2 linked regions of the Lonchura striata genome follow. The protein of the gene in region 1 interacts with the protein of each later gene in a pairwise test. Links are inferred from orthologs where the notes say so. Each region holds a gene or a part of one and is shown on either strand. Other genes may lie near its edges. The genes, in order: WT1 and WTAP.

Region 1 (7,654 bases):
TAGGAGCGGGACTGGCCAAATGTCCCTCACATCCCCCTGACCCCAGGAGCAGAGCTCCTTTCGCCGGGACGCGGGCAGCGTTGACAGGCCGGTACCTAACGGGTTCCCATCCCACAGCTGTTCCTCGCTCCGTATCTCCTCCCTCAGCCCTCAGGGTAGAGGCTCAACCTTCTACTCCCTTTTCCCCGTTTCCCTCTGTCTGTCTCTTTTTTAGCTTTCAGAAAATACTGACACTTTCTACGTTACTTTTGGCCCGCCACAGAGTTTCGGTGACCTTCAAAACTCAGCTCGGAGCAGGACGAGGTTTTGGCCGCATTTTCCGGTGTTGCCTGACCCAAAGCTTCAGGAATGCGATAAGAAAGTTGAGTTCTGAACCGAGCTGCCGATAGTGAGGTCTCTTTAATTAGGGCGTTATCAGAAGTAGGCCTGATTAAAATGTGCTGAAAATAATTGAAAGTTGTACATCTGCTGGAGAACGGGGCCCGCTGGAGGCATCCAGTTGTTGGAGGAGCCCAGCTGGATGAAAGAGGCAGGCAAACAAGAAGAGGAAAATTGGGCAGAGGTTTCAAAGCCTTAGTTTCCTACCCCCCACCCCATCCCATCCCAGACTTGGCAGAAATGTCATCACAGAGCCAAGGTAGCGTCTTTCCCACGGTCGGAGGAACCGCTAAAAAAAAAAAAAAAAAAAGAGTTCAACCTTGAGGAGAGCCAAAGCAAGAACATTTTATCCATCCACAAAATAGAAAAAAAAAAAAAAAAAAAAAAAAGGCAAGCAAACGCCTTTGCCGAGTATCCCCTTGCCATAGGAGCCCTCTGTCTGCGTGCCACCGAAAACAGCTGAGCCCCAGGGCTACACGTGCGGGAGGCAGCCCCGAGCCGAAGGGACCCCCCGGCCCGGGACACGGCCCCTGCTCCCGCCACGGCGCCGTCGCCGGGCTCCTGCCGGGCCGGGATGCCCGGGGCTGTGCGGAGGGCTCGGTGCGCCGGCCCCGGCCCGCACAGGTGCGGCTGTGTGCGGGGTCTGTGCGGTGCCTGCGGTGCCGCAGGCGGAGCACGGCCCGCGGAGCGCCGGGCCCGAGGAGAGCCCGGCGTGGGCTCCGTGTGTTGGGGCGTTAAAGGCTCCGTTTCTCCCCGGGGTGGGGAAAACCGGACGCCAGGACGGCGCGAAGTCGCAGCTATTTTGTCCCTCGCTAATTCGAATTTATCTCCCTCGTCCTTCTCTCCACTTTCTTGTCCTTATTTCCGTCCAGCTATTTGGAATCTCCTCCGATGTCTAAAACCGTTTCGCATGTCTTTCAAAGGTCCCCGTCAGAGTCCCTGTCCTGACGGGCTCGGGCCGCTCCCCTCCCGTCCCGCAGCTGGAGCTGGGACCCCGCAGGGCACGCAGCGGCTCCGGGGCCTCGGCAGGGCCGAGCCTCTCCCCAGCTCCAGGGATGCCACCCATTTTCCCAGCCGGGATCGGCAGCACGACCCAGAAGCCCCGCTCTGCTCTTTCCTACATCGGAGCCCGGCGCCGGGCGAACCCATGGGGCAGGGGCCGGGGGTCGAAGGCAGCAGCGGGACCACGACCCGGCACTGCCCGGGGGAGGTCCGCGCTGAACAACCCCTGCCCCTCGCTGCAAGCATCGCCCGGGCCTCGGCCACACCTCGGCGGCCAGCACCGAGCGCGTCTGCCGGCGCCGGCCTCGGCCTCTGCTCTGCCCGACGCCCTGCAGCCCGAATCGCCCGGGCCCTTCCCGGGACGGTCTGTCCCAGCCGCTCTGTGGGTTTGCCCCCGCGGGGCACAGCAATCCCGAGCTGCGGGCTAGGTGCGGGGAACCCCATCCTAAAAGCAGAGAGACCCCGGCCACTCATCCCGCTCCGGCAGGGCCACGCACACTCCGCCGATTCCCCGTCCCCCGAGCCGCGGCGCCCCGGCTGCCCGACTCCCCTCGGTGCCTCGCCCGGGGCCGGGCAGTGCGGGGCAAACCCCGGCACACCACCACTCCGGGGCCAGCTGAAGGAGGGGGAATGAGACCCGCAATGTCTCATGCGATCTCTTCGCACGCTGGGCCCTTTTCCTTTCTTCCTCCCGTTCGCGCCCGCAAATGTTTATACTGCAGGAGCTGGAAGAAAAAGGATTTAGATGCTGACCCGGCGCCACACGCGGCTGACCCATTGCCCGGCCGTTCAACCCTCGGGAGCCTCTCAGGACGGTGCGAACACCGGGGACCGCAGGGAGTTGCGGCGCAGCCGGTCCCGGCCGCGGAGATGCAGACAAGAAACGCCGAGTCGCCCCTGCTTGTGCATTCCACCCGGGAATACTCAGCCCTCCCGAGGTTCGTTCGAAAAGGGGCTTGAAAACACCAGCGTGCGGACAGCCCTTTTCGGATTCTGGAGGGAGTTTGGAGGTTCACCCCCGCCACCACCCCATCACCCCCGAGATATGCAGAGGGAATTGTCTCGGGCCACGGGCTCCAGCTCCATTCCAGGACTTGTGTCGTCTCCGGCCCGAACAAACCTTTGCGAAGGCGAGAGGCTGCTCCAACCCGGGGAGGGGGCCGGGGGGCTCCAGCCCGCCTGGCAGAGCCGCCCGCTGCATCCGCTGCCCCACAGGAGGGGTGGGGGCCGAGCAACTCGTGGCTCCTAAAGCTCCCGGGTGCGACGCGGCTGCCGCACAGGGAGGGAAGGGAGGCACGGCAGGGCTGGCTCGCCTAACCCGGCCCGGCCGCCGCGGAGAAGGACCGGCCTCGGTGTTTACATCAGGCGCGGCCCTGCCGGGCTGAGCGGGCGCCTCCGGGGGCCGTCCCCCGAGCCCGGGGCGCCCGGCAGCGCGGCCCTTACCCTGGTTGCGGATGGCTTGCTGGCTCTCCAAGCAGTTGGGCAGGTAGGGCCCGTTGGGGAACATCCGAGCCTGGCCCGAGGGCGGCTGGCTGGGCGGCGGGGCGCCGAAGGGCCCGTAGCGGCAAGCCCCGGCCGTGCCCGTGAACTGGCCGGAGAAGTGGACGGTGAAGGCGCTCAGGTACTGCTCCTCGTGCGGGTCCGATCCGTTCCAGCTCGGCTCCTGCTTGATGAAGGAGTGCGGCCCCAGCGAGCCGTAGGAGGCCCCCGGGGGAAAGTCCAGGACGGGCGCCCACTGCGCCGCGCTGCTCACCGGCATGGTGCAGTTGCTGTTGCCCGGCAGGGAGGGCACGGAGGGCAGCAGCGCGTTGAGGTCTCGGACGTCGGAGCCCATCTGCTCGCAGACCTTTTGCCTGCCGCCGGGCAGCCAGTCTCCCCCCGGGCCGCACTTGTTCCAAGACACCTGGCCCCTGCCCGCCAAGCCGGAGGCCGGCTCCGGCTGCAGGCACCAGGCCGGCGAGCTCAGCCCTTTGGGGGAAGTTTGCTCCGCGACGCAGCTCCCCGGGTCCAGCCCTGCGGGAGCCGGCAGCAGCGACAGGGCAAGGTTGTTCTCCAGGATCGCCTCCGGGTTTGCACCCGCTCGCAGCGCAGGGCAGGGTGCGGTGTGCGTGCCTGTGTGTCCGCGCGTGTGTCTGTCTGTACGGATGTCCGCCTGTCCGAGCTAGGGGGGCACAGCCGCCGCGCACGCCTCACCTCGGATGCCTGCTCAACCCTCAACTTTGCAAAGCTCAAATAGAGGCGCTTGCAGGGGAGGAGGAGTCAGCCACGCCGATCCTCCATTCACACAACCTCCGCCGAGGGGCTGCCCACAGCCCGCTCTGCTGAACCCAGCCGGACCAGACGCGCGGGGGGAGGGGAGACACGGGAGAGCCGGGGATGGAGGGGGAGAGGTGACTGTGGGAGAATATATCTCCCCTACACATCACTCCCACCCTTCTGCTGGTGCAAGCGCCACTAAATCTCACCCTAACGTTCCTCCGCTTTAGGAGAGACTTGCGGGACTTGTTAGAGGGATCCAGGTGGCCAGTAAGTACGTGCTGGCTGACTTCCCCCGCCAGCTCCGTGCATGTCCGTGGGGATTCCCGAGGGCGGCGAGGTCGCAGGCCCAGGGGACCGCGCGGAGAAGCCTCCGCCCTTGCAGGAACCAGGGGAAGTGACACGACCCGGCCCGGGCGGACCCCATTTCTGAGAGGAGAAAGTGTCTTTCCAGGTGCCTTTCCCGCTACGGGAGGATCCTGCGTTTCCATGAGCTCCTGCGGGGTGCGAGCTGCCTGCCCGGCCCCCCCGCACCCCTCCCTGTCCCTGGGGGCGCAGGGCCGCGGCACGTCGCCAGGGCTGGCCGGGCCGGGGTACCGAGGGCTCCGCCGGCCAGGAGAGGGCTGGGAGCCCTTTGCACCGGCCCCGGGGCCGGCGTGAGCCCGGCCCTAGCCCGGTGCCTCGGACCTGCCTGTGTGCGAGGGGAAGGAAGCAGCTGGGCGGGCGGGGGAGGACAGCAGCGCTGTGAGTAACCTGCTGTTGAGAGATTCACCTGGCACTGCTCCCGGGAAGGCCCGGAGTCCCTCTTTGCTCTCCAGCCTCCTGGACAGCGGCTCCTCAGCGTCCATCCCGGGGGCGGCGGCCGGAGGACCCCCAAAGGCACCCGACTCGTTATCCCCGGGCTGTCCTTCCTGCCGAGAAACACGGCAGGACTCGTGTCGGCCCCGGCCCCGAGGGGTGCCGTGATTCTGGCGGTGCGGGAGCCCACCTAGAGCGACTGCCCAGGCAGGAAGCGCCGGGGCGGGCGGCAGAGCCCCGCGGTACCTGCCGCGGGCAGGACGCGCTCTCTCCAAAGGCGGGGAGGGGAATCCTGCCGCCCTCCCGCATAACTACGGATGGATAACCACCCGGGGGTGGGGGGTGCCGCTTTCACGGGCAGCCGTGGGGCAGCTGCCGGCTCAGGGTACTCGCGGAGCACGCGGGGTCGCACCGGCCCCGCCGCCCTGTCCCTTGTCACCGGCCGCTGTTAGAGCCGTGGCACCGCCAAGCGGGGTCGCCGCCCGGCGACACCCCCGCGGCCTCAGCCCTCAGCCTCACCCTCCTTTGCGGCGACAGCAGCGACAGAGGCGCCGCGAAGGCTCACCTGCCGCAGGACACGCCGAGCCCCTTGTCCGCCCGGTGACAGCGCGCACCTCGGGATTTCCTTTCCCTCGCGGCATCAAAGGTTACCGCAAGCATCGTCAACGTTGAAGAGGTGTTTTAAGATTCAAAGGGTCAAGGCTACAACAATAGAAATTAAAATAGGTCCTTATTGGAGCAGCCAAGTATAATTTCATTTTCTCTTAAAACTTATTAGCCATAACGTTCGGTTTTTGTTATTAGTGAAATTGTTTTTTTTTCGCAAACTATTTCAGGTAATTCCCTTTAAAAATTTCTCTTTTGGCACATACATCTATTTATTACAAAAATCCACGTATAGCGTAAGTGCGAAAGATTAGTTCATTATTTTCGCTGATATTAAATATCCTCTAAGTTTACAGGACGCGCCACCTCAGAGCCCACGGCAAACTAAAGCACACTGGACGGCACTTGTGAATGCAGCCCGTGCGGGGAAATCGCGCTGACCTTGCTGCCCGCGGGCTCCGGCGCTGCCTCCCGCTCTGCCTCCCGCTCTGGCCGCACCGGGGCTCCCGCACACCGCGGTCACCCCTGCCCGGGACCCGCGGGGAGCTGCGGGATCGGCACAGGGGCTGCTGCTGGCTTTGCTCGTTTCTGTGACGGACCGATACACGAGGTTGGTTGAACTGGGTACCTTAAAGGTCTTTCACAACCTAAACGATTTTATGATCTCCAGTTCTGCGATGGACATCGTACATATAGGAATGGAATTCTTTGGCCAGCCTAAGCGGGGTATTTGATTTCGCATGAAAACTAGCGCTCTCTAGGAGCTAGCAGAAAATACGTTTCCCGTAGTGGGCTGTTTTTCGAGCTAGCACGGGGGTTTTGTCTTTTCTTGAAATAACCTAGCTTGATAAATCATCTTAAAAGGGAAAGAAAGGTTTACTTGATCGCTTAACTCTGCATTACTCTACCTGGAAGAACTGCCGAAGTCTGTCCAAACCTTCTCCCTCGCACCCTCCAGCAGTGAAACAAGACGACCCCTTGGCCATTAGCGCATCCTTCCTCCCCGCAGTTGCTGGAGAGGCTGGGGAGAGTCAGGAGCTGCCAGCACAGCTCAGCTCAGCTGAGCTCAGCACAGCACAGCACAGCTCAGCTCAGCTCAGCTCAGCTCAGCTCAGCTCAGCTCAGCTCAGCTCAGCCCTGTGCTGCACCTGCGCTCTCCCGGGCCGCCTCAGCCGTGCGGGACACGGAGCGCGCCCACCTCGAACGCGTCCGGGGGCGTCCTGGGGCAGGAAAGCCCGGACCCTTCCGTCTCGGGATGGGCTGAGGATTTTTGGGAGACGGCCAGTGCCACTTTGCCTAGTTGTTTCCGTCTAGCCAGCGCCAGGGAAAGAGAGAAACCTCCAACACAGGCCGGGAACGCTGGCAGCAGCTCCCCCTGAGGAATGCTGAGAGGAGCTGCTCCTTCTTTGCAGGAGACTTTTGCCCACCTCTTCCCCAGAGATCCCGACCCCGCTTCCAGACAAATTCCGGCATAAATCGTTCCAGGTCTCGCACACCGGGCGCCCGCGTGTGGGTTTGGGTGCCCAGTTGAACGCGATGGCCGAGGAGACAGGGAGATGTTCAGGGACAGCATCTCCTTTGTCGGTTTCCAGACCCAGGCGGTGCGGAACATTTTGCCCTGTCCCCTCCGAATACGGCCCGATCCAAAACTCTGACAGGCTTCATTGCCCGCTGTTCCATAGCTAGGGCAATTCCTGATAACGCTCAGTCTTCGATTGTGCTCGAAGGCATACTCTGCCAGGTTAAACAATAGCTGGAGGAGGATTATTCTAGCGAGTCCCACTCGAACACGAGAACAACAGGCTCGGGAAGCTGCTTCAACCTGAGCACCGCTGCCGCACCTCCCCAGCCGAAATTTTACCTCTGCCATGCTAACCAATTAAGGAATGGACCGGTAATTCTTACGAAACTCCTAAAACGATCCCCCCACGTTTCGGAGGTGGGCGAGACTGACTGAACCAGAGATAAATCTCCAGCCCTTCCCCTCCTGCTCACGCCGCTCACAGCACGCAGGGGATCTGTCTCCTTTCACTCAGGGAGCTGATCAGAGTTTGATTATTTAAGCGCTAAGAGCAGCAGAAACAAAGCTGAGAAGCGTCTCCAGGAGCGCAGAGGGCACAGGGGCAGGAATTCATCGCGGCGGGCCCAATCTCTCATTTCTCGCTGCCGAGAGCTGCGAGCACCACGGGAGCCGGGAGCCGCCGGCAAGGCGGGACCAGCCTTCCGTGTGCGGGCTGACGTGGGCCCGGGAACGCTTTCGTGCTGCCTAGAGGACGTTTGGTTTATCCCCTGTGGGTAGAAAAGTTGTTTTTGGTGCACGGAGAAGCAAAGATGCGCGACCCCTCCCCGAAGCAGACGTGAGCGGGGCACTGCGGGCGGGTGCGGGGATAGCGAGCAGCCCCGCGGGGTCCCGGACATCTGCCGTGGCCCCGGCTCTTGCCCCGCTCCGCCGGGACAGCCTCCCCAGCACCGACCCCGCCGTGCAGCGGCGGCGAGCGGCGGGCCGGGCCCGGCCGGCGGGGCTCGGGCCATTATTGTACCGTAAATCTTGGAAACGCTGGAACTAATTACGGAGAGGATATGTCTCAATTTGTTCCGCATTAGTGCCGCGCCG
Region 2 (8,218 bases), on another chromosome or scaffold:
AATATTGTACAGTTCCTGAGCAACCCTGCATGACTGAATGTAGTCTTCTGCACATTTTCAAAATTCAGTAGAGAGTGAGTAAGAGACATATGAGGGTAGCACCAAGTAACCTTGTTTATCAACTGTACCATATACCAATATGCCATTCTTAATGCAACATTTGACTGATTACAACTTAAGGCCATTGTTGGAAATACAAAGTCAATAACATGAGATGAGCTCAGATTAAATGTCGGCAGGTGTTCAAAGTCCACAGCTGATACTACACCCGAAGTAAGCCTTATGAACAGGATTCTCTTGAATTTAAAAGTTTACAAATATTGGATTGAACATAAAGTGAGGCTTCAGCCCCTTCCCTCCCCACAGTTCACTAGCAGACAGAAAAAGTTAAAATATGAAGCAGCCTTAGGGCCTTCAGGCTCACCCCAGTGAGCTGACCTGCTGTACCTTTGCTCTCAGCCCCAACCAGCAGAACAGTTTTGCAGTTCAACATTAGTGACAAACCAGGCTGTGAGGTTGGAGCACCCAAAACCAACAGAGAATAATTTTATCTTGGTATGTCTATCAGGCTTGCAGTATTCTATTTAACTCTGCTTGGATGGTGTCCAGGGTTGAGATCCAAATGGACAAAAGGGGCATGTGACATAGCAAAATGACGCAGCAATCGCACAAAGGCAAATAATTATGAAATATGCATGATACAGATCAAAGTTAAGTCATTGAAATGCAGAAAAAAACATTCCTGAATGGTAGTAGGCAGCTGTGCTTTTTAAATTCAATGTAGTTAATGAGCAGCACAATACTCAATAACAAACTACTGCCCTATGCTGGTACATTTTGCCATTTCTCAGAAATCTAAACTCTGGGAAATGAAGTCATGAATTCAGAACAGAAATCTTACCTGCCATCTATTGCACAAAGTTTATTTACTACTTTGCTATGAACACAATCAAATGGACAAGTGCCTTCCATGAAATATTCAAGGTGCAAAGATTTTTGCATTTTCATTTTCTAATGGTGGCTCAGTTTTATTAGAAATAGATGAAAAGTTAAAGGATTTCATTGTTCACTGATTTACTCTCCTGCTAAATAACTTTTTTCTAAATCTGACTTTTTAAAAGATCAGTATTGTTACCATAAAGCAAAGCTGTTGATTTTTTTTTTCTTAAATCTGACACTTGGTCAATGAATATTTGCAAAAACAGGTTTGTTGGGTATGTGATTTTAATAAAAACGAAGCTGCACCTCTTAAAGGAAAAAGAACCAAACAAAATCCAATTACTTTAAATAAATAAATCTCAAGATGAGATAATTCTATTTTTTAATAGGTTTCACAACTTTCCTGTAACAGCAAATTCTTTAGTCTATAAAGTCTTATACACATATTGGTACTGCTGAATTCCCATCTGCTATGGGATGCCTTTCCCATCTTTCTGGATGCCTTTAGTACTTTAAGACCTTTCTTCATGTGTAGAAAGACAGTTCTTTTTCCAGATTTTCTTAGCAGTGGACTAACATTCAGCTGTTTATGAGTAGCTTCAGCACATAAGGCATGTTTTAAAAACTGACAGACACACTGTTTTCCCAGTGAGGTAAAGAGCTACATTTTCTTTCTAAAATTTCTCAATCCCCCACCTGACTGACAGGGTCCTTGGAAATCAAGACAATGAAATGTCCTTGTCTGTGTTAAGAACAATCTCTGTTTTCCTTGAATCCATTTTTCTAAGGGAATGTTTGTAATCTAATTGGTGATTAATTAAAAAATGTTGTTTTCCCCTCAGACAGGAAAACGTTTGCACTACTGAAACTCTCTTGGCCTTTCTATGGTTTAAAAAAAAATTATAGTAAACACCTGGGCTTATATCCTTAGCAACTATATGTACACCTGTACTCCAAAAGCAAGCTTGCAGTATTTATCAAGCATTCCCAAAAACGAATTTAACATGAGTCACCATTTGGTTTTAATTGTATCTGGATGGATTATCGTTCTGGGAATGTCTTCAGGACAGGCTCTGGACAGGACAGGACAGACTCACTATATATATATATATATATATATATATATATATATATATATAGTTGCTGTTAAATAAAATGTAATTATTGCAAGAGCTTTCTGAAGAAGTTAATTTACTTCTTGCTATGAAGATGTAAGAAAAATAGAGGAAAATTCCACTGAGACCCATAAAAGGATGTTAGCAGGGGATATAAAGACAGCATTAAGCCTGCAGCCTAGCATTCAGGGAGCTTCTCTAAAAGAGAGTCCTCTGATGTCAAATTTGGACTTTCTGCAGCCTAGATCTTTACCTAGTAGTTACCTGAAGGATCTCTCTGCAACACTTTCCTCTCAGTGCAATCCATAGATTTTATCTTTCTCCTACACCTGTAGGCTGCAGCAGCCTTTTCCAGTGCTCATTCTCTGCTGCAGATGTACCACAGGTTTGCCTTGCTCCATCTCCTGCCCTTGCAAGTCAAGGACAGCCTTTGCAAGAGCTGACTGGCCTTTCTTTAGTTCTTGATATTTCAAGGTCCTTTAAAATGCCAAGAGGATGTATGGTAGTCCAAACATTATTTCTTTTTTGCTTTTGAAAAAGGCTTTATGTCATTTCCCCCCTAATCCTCACTTTTCTCACCTGCAGACTGATTTTTTGAATGAATGTTTTACACTAGGAAGCGTTTTCCCTCACAGCCTGCCTTCCTCAGAGACAAATAGCATCCCTCAGAGCTGGGAAACATTGTAGTATTTGTGTTGGTCCACAGGGTTTCCTTGTGAAACCAAGGGGTGGAATAGAAACCCAGAACTGAGCCTGTAAAACCAAGGAGGAGCCATCCAGTTAATGGATAATTAAGTTAATGAGTAACACACCATCATTCAAGGAACCTAAAACCCAGTGAGCTGTGCTGCCCACTCATTCATAATCTGGTTCATGTTCCATTTTATCATTATAGGTGAATCAATATATGGATTTGGTTTTTGTGTTGATGCTTGGACAGATCATGATGTGCCTTCTCATCCAAAGAACAATGCTGCTGCTGGGGGTTATGATACCACCTATTACTTGAAAAGCTAATTTACTCCAGTTACCACACTGTAAACACAACCCAAGGCGGGTGTCGACATGTTTGATCCAGCAGCACTAAAAAGTCCCAGATTAGTTCTCACTGTGTAACGTGATGTGCAAACAGATCAAAAGAGTATTTCAGTTAAATGTCCTCTTCCCAAAGGTATCAGAGGAATGGTTGCCAAATTGTTAACATTATTTCCCTAAACAAAAATTATAGGTGTAATCTGATAATACACTTACCAGCTTGAAAGTATGGAAGGAAGGCAGCCCAGAATATTAAGCTCTGCAGGCTGCTTCCACTTATCTCTACATGTCTCTGGCTGCCTGCTTCTTGCTCAGCTAGCATGTTTCCCACAATTGTAATCTACACTTGTAAAGATAAATTTAAAATAACTAGGTGCTGACAAGGGGTAAAAAATGCAGGAATACTTTCTACATGCTCATGAACACAAACAATTGTGGAAGGTTTACCATCCCATACCTTAGAGGGTATGTGAGCTAGACCTTTATCTGTACCACTAAGAAGACACAAAGGAGGTTTGGTTTCTGAACATAATAAAAAGTGGCCAAACTCTAGACAAAGTACTGGGAGATCTTGAGTTAAATCACCACTGATACACAGAAAGTGTTAGGTATGTTATACACAGAATAGAAGCTGCCCTGCGTGTATGTCAGCATCTATTTTATGTAGAAAAAGTTTTGATTTCTTCTTCTGCTTGGTTTATATGCATTTTTAGTATTGTGATGTTTATGTTTGCACATGAGAAAATCAAGTCAATTTGCTACATTAATGTTCTTATTAAGGCCTACACTAACGTGCATCTCTCATGCTGCCATATCCCGGGATGGCTTCATCTGTTAATTGGTATCTTGAATGCTTAAAACAAGTATCTTGAAGAAAATCAGGAGCAGGTAACTGTACACTAATCACAGTGTGTCTCTTTTCACTTTCAAATGAGGTAAGATTCCAAAGGCATTTATTCAGGTTCTTTCTCCTTGTGGTCACCTTACCACCCTACCTCAGGTAGCTATGTCAAATCAGTTACAGTGTGGTTTTTAAACGTTTTAAGTTCTCAGTGAAAAATCTGTGTATTCATGTATATGCGTACATGTGTGTATGGGACCACGTGTACTGGGTTCTATTCTGTAGTGATTATATTGTTTTTGCTACCAGTAAGAATCAGGAGAGATTTCTGGATCACGTCTAGCACTGACATAGTGAGTGACAATCAATTTAATCTGTGCAAGTCAGGTGTCAGACTGATTTAGTCTGCAGCAGCTTTACGACTTTGCCAACAAAAAGGCAAAAGTATTTACCCAACAGCACAGCTTGTGAAAACAGAGAGAGTAAGAAGGATAAACTTTATTTTAAAGCACCAGCTCGGAGGTAGACCGCAACGAAGAACAAACTTCATTGGTTTTTATTCCGCAGCACTGACACTGATGTTTCACTTTGGAAGCAGCTGGAATTTAAATCTTGTATCTGTCATTAGTGGCTGAGGACACTGACTCGCACCGAGGCCGCCGAGCGGCGGGCAGGCAGCGCCGGCAGTCGCTCCGAGAAGCCTGGCACCCATCCTGCACTCTATGAACTGCTGCACGCAGTTTTCCCTCCCAGGGATCCCATCTTCTCCAGCAGCCTTCCGGGAAGGCGCCAAGCGCTCTTCCCAGGAGGCGCCGGGCCCGCTCCCTCAGCCGCTTTGGCGGGAGACGGGCGGCGCTGCCCCTCCCGCCGAGCAGCGGCTCCCCCCGCCGGCAGGAGGCCGCGCGGCGCCCCAGCGATACGAGCGCTGCGCCGCCCGTTCGCCCACGGGCTTTAAACCGGCGCTCGAGTAACCCGCGGGAGCCTCCGCTTCCCAGCTGGACGGGCGGCGGTGCCCTGCATCAGCCGCCCCACGGGCGGGCCGAGGCGCCGCGCCGCGGCCCTGCCCCGCTGCGGAGCGTCTCCTCGTCTCCGCCGCCGCCCCTCCACGCCAGGTGCGCGCGCAGCCTCCGAGCGCGGGGCGGGGCGGGCGCTCATTTCCTCCCTGGGCGCCATTTTGTAGCGCAGAGAACCCGCAAATAAAGAGCGGGCGGGAGCGGCGTGCGGGGGAGCTCGGGCGGGGGTGGGGGGGCACGGCCGTCCTGGCCGCGGTGCTGGTGGCGGCAGGCGTGGAGGTGGCGGCGTTTTTCCCCTGCTCGATGTGAGGCGGAGCGCGGCCCAGGCGAGCGGCGTGCGAGGGGCGCGGGGCCTCCGCGCCGCAGGCGGGAGGTGAGTGGCCGTGCGGGCGCTCCGCCCCAGCGGGACGGACTGACGGACCGGGCAGCCCGCAGTCCCGGGGTGCCGAACCCCAGAGGCGCCTCCGTGCCTCGCTTCGGGCACGGCGGGGGGAGGAGCGGAAGCACTTAGAGCCATTTTGTACGAGGCCCCAAAGCCCGGCCTGGCTGCGCGGCCGGGATCCTCCTGCCCTGCCTTGGGTGCGTTTGTCGCTTCCCCCGTGGGCGCGGAGCGAGGGCGGGGGGCGGCCGCAGCAGCTGGGTCTGTCGAACACCTGCGGCTGCGGCCCCGGGGGGCGGGACCCCCGCGGTGGCTGAGGCGAGTGTGAGGGCTGGCCATTTACGGGGATACTGTGAAGCTTCTCATTCTAAGCGCCAGAAGGCTCCTTAGTACAGGAAAGACAAGGGGGTACTGGAGGTGGTCCGAGGGAGGGTCACAAAGATGATTTGGGGTCTGGAATGTTTCTGTTGTAAGGAAACACTGCGTGAGCTGGGCCTGTTTACTCTAGGAGAGAGAGAAGACTGAGAGGGGCTGTCATCAGTACATACAAATATCCTAAAGGCAGGCGCTGTCTTAAAGTGAAGGGTGCCAGACTCTTCTCAATGGTACCCAGGGGCAGGACGAGGGTCAGTGGCCATAAACTAAAACATAAGAAGTTTCACCTCAACATGAGGAAGAACTTTGCATTGAGGGCGGCAGAATACTGGAACAGGCTACTGTGGTGGTGCATTCCCCCTTAACCTCCTTCCAGGCTGCAGTGTTGTGATCTGAGAAACTTTTGAGCAATCTCAGGCACACGCATTCGGGACAGCTGCCCAGGCAGGTCATGGAGTCTCCCTCTCTGACGACATTCAGAACCCACCTGGACACGTTCCTGTGTCACCTGCCTTGGTGGGGACGGGGATGTTGGACTGTAATCTCCAGAGGTGCCTTCCAGCTCTAACGATTCTGTAAATTACATGTTTGTATATATATGCACACACGTATGTACTTTGGGAGCTGGGAGCCCATACTGGGGTTTTCCCCACAGAACTCTTTCTCGGTATCATTAAAATAACTTTCAGTTTGCATATAACAAGTAAAACCTCATACCTGATTCAATTACTTTTGCTCATTGAAGTTTTCAAAAAAGTTTTTAAGTCCTGTGTTTTATAAACACTGTAGAGAAAGGTATGGAGGCCTGTATCAGAGTTACTAAAATTAAAATGTACTTTCCTCATTTTACATTTCTTTTAATTGAAACTGCCATAGAAGCCTAAAACATAGAGTTTTTCTAAAAATTCTTTTAGTGTCTGTGACAACGTTATTCTAAGTATGGAATGTGATTTTGTGTTGCTTGTTGCCAGGAGCAGATATGCAGGAGTGGTGTGTGGCTACTACTGTTTCTGCAAAATCATGAAAGTGCTTAGGATAGTACAGTTAAACTGTTCATGATATAAATCACAAAATACAATTGTGTTAATTCCAGTCAGTTGTGCAGGAATGTTTACATTGATTCTTGTAGAAAGTGATACTTCATCTTGTTCTTGCAAGATATTTCTGATATGGGTAGTAGAGAGATGATCTCTTCTAGAGGAGAGCCGAGTGATAAGAAGCATCTCTTGACGCACAGTGCTTGAGAAGTTACTGTAGTAGATTCAAAGAATGAACGTTTCCGTTGCGGTTGTTGCCTGTAGCACACGGGTTCACCTGTTGGTAACAGAAAACTGAGGCGAATCACCGTGACAGCTGCTGCTGTTTCTGAGGAACATGGAGTACAACGATAGCAGTATACTGCAGTAATAAATGTTTCAGCTTCTGCTAAGTTAGTCCAGGTTCCCAAAAAGCTGTTGCAGGTCAATAGCAAAGTGAAATTAATATTTGTGGAAAGAGCACTAAGTGTTTACCTGTAAATATTATCAACTTAACTTGTCCAGAATAATCTATAAAATAAAATACTTTTGGTGCATGTGTGGTTCTATCATAGCAAGTAATAATAGGTGGCAGTAAGGCAGTGACTTCTGTAATGCAGTGGCCCATAACTTCAGTTTTTTGTGCTCATCTGAAAGCAAGAGGTGGTTTTGTAAATGGTGATGTGCTGGGTGTAGAGGTTAGAGCAGCCTGGTCTGGTGCTGGAATTTTGTGTGAGGTCTGGAAAAGCAGCGTTTGACTACCTTTGGATGGAGCATTTACCTTTGATTTCTTGTAGTCGTGATTGTGGCAGCAATCATATGTTTATAATTGCTGCATGCTGCAGCAGGAGCTACAAGCCAGGTGTCTGGGGGGAATTCACATTTTTTGGTATTTGTATGCTTCTGGTACATGTTTGGGGAACACACATGTAATGACTCTGTGTGCACCATTTAATCAGTGTTAGCTGTAGTTGTGCGAGACATCTGAAAAGGATGTTTCTCTCTGTTAGGAACTTCACACTAGCTGGGATCTTCAATACTACCAACCTTCAGAGGAGTTAAAAACTCTAAAAATCTTTGGAAAAATTACAGTGGGGAAAGTAGGCAGCCTAAATACAGGGGTCACAAGCATTCCCTCTGTAATCTCAAGTTACTCTGATTGAATTGGCTACTGGCAATTTGTATCGGCAGCCTCTTATGCTTGTATTTTATATTTGAGGTATGTTTTTGGTAAAACAGTTTCAAATAAGGAGCTGCATGCAGAAATTCAAGCAAAATACTCCTTGTGAGGGGGAGTGAAGGGGGTGTGACTTAGTTCAGGGAAGCACTTAGCTGCCTGTGTGTTACTAAGCCTAACAGGAAGCTGCCATTCATTAGTGACATACTTCTACTGAATGTTTTCTTTCTGTGGGCTCTAATGTCAGTATTTATTATAGGAAGGGAGTGTGAGTGCTGGTTTGTCTGTTGCTAACCTGGACCTTGTTTGGTAGAGTGCTGTGTAAATT

The links.
Region 2: the proteins of WT1 (region 1) and WTAP interact in binary tests that used the Homo sapiens proteins (3 or more experiments, as listed by UniProt). The link is inferred for Lonchura striata from reciprocal best matches to the Homo sapiens genes WT1 and WTAP.

The regions. Positions count from the first base shown.
Region 1 is NC_134608.1:60,255,735-60,263,388, reverse strand, and holds the start of WT1 (Wilms tumor protein), read right to left. Parts: upstream 3,215-7,654; coding exon 2,824-3,214; intron 1-2,823. UniProt on the Homo sapiens protein: Transcription factor that plays an important role in cellular development and cell survival. Recognizes and binds to the DNA sequence 5'-GCG(T/G)GGGCG-3'. Regulates the expression of numerous target genes, including EPO.
Region 2 is NC_134605.1:57,861,274-57,869,491, reverse strand, and holds the start of WTAP (pre-mRNA-splicing regulator WTAP), read left to right. Parts: upstream 1-5,174; 5' UTR 5,175-5,316; intron 5,317-8,218. UniProt on the Homo sapiens protein: Associated component of the WMM complex, a complex that mediates N6-methyladenosine (m6A) methylation of RNAs, a modification that plays a role in the efficiency of mRNA splicing and RNA processing.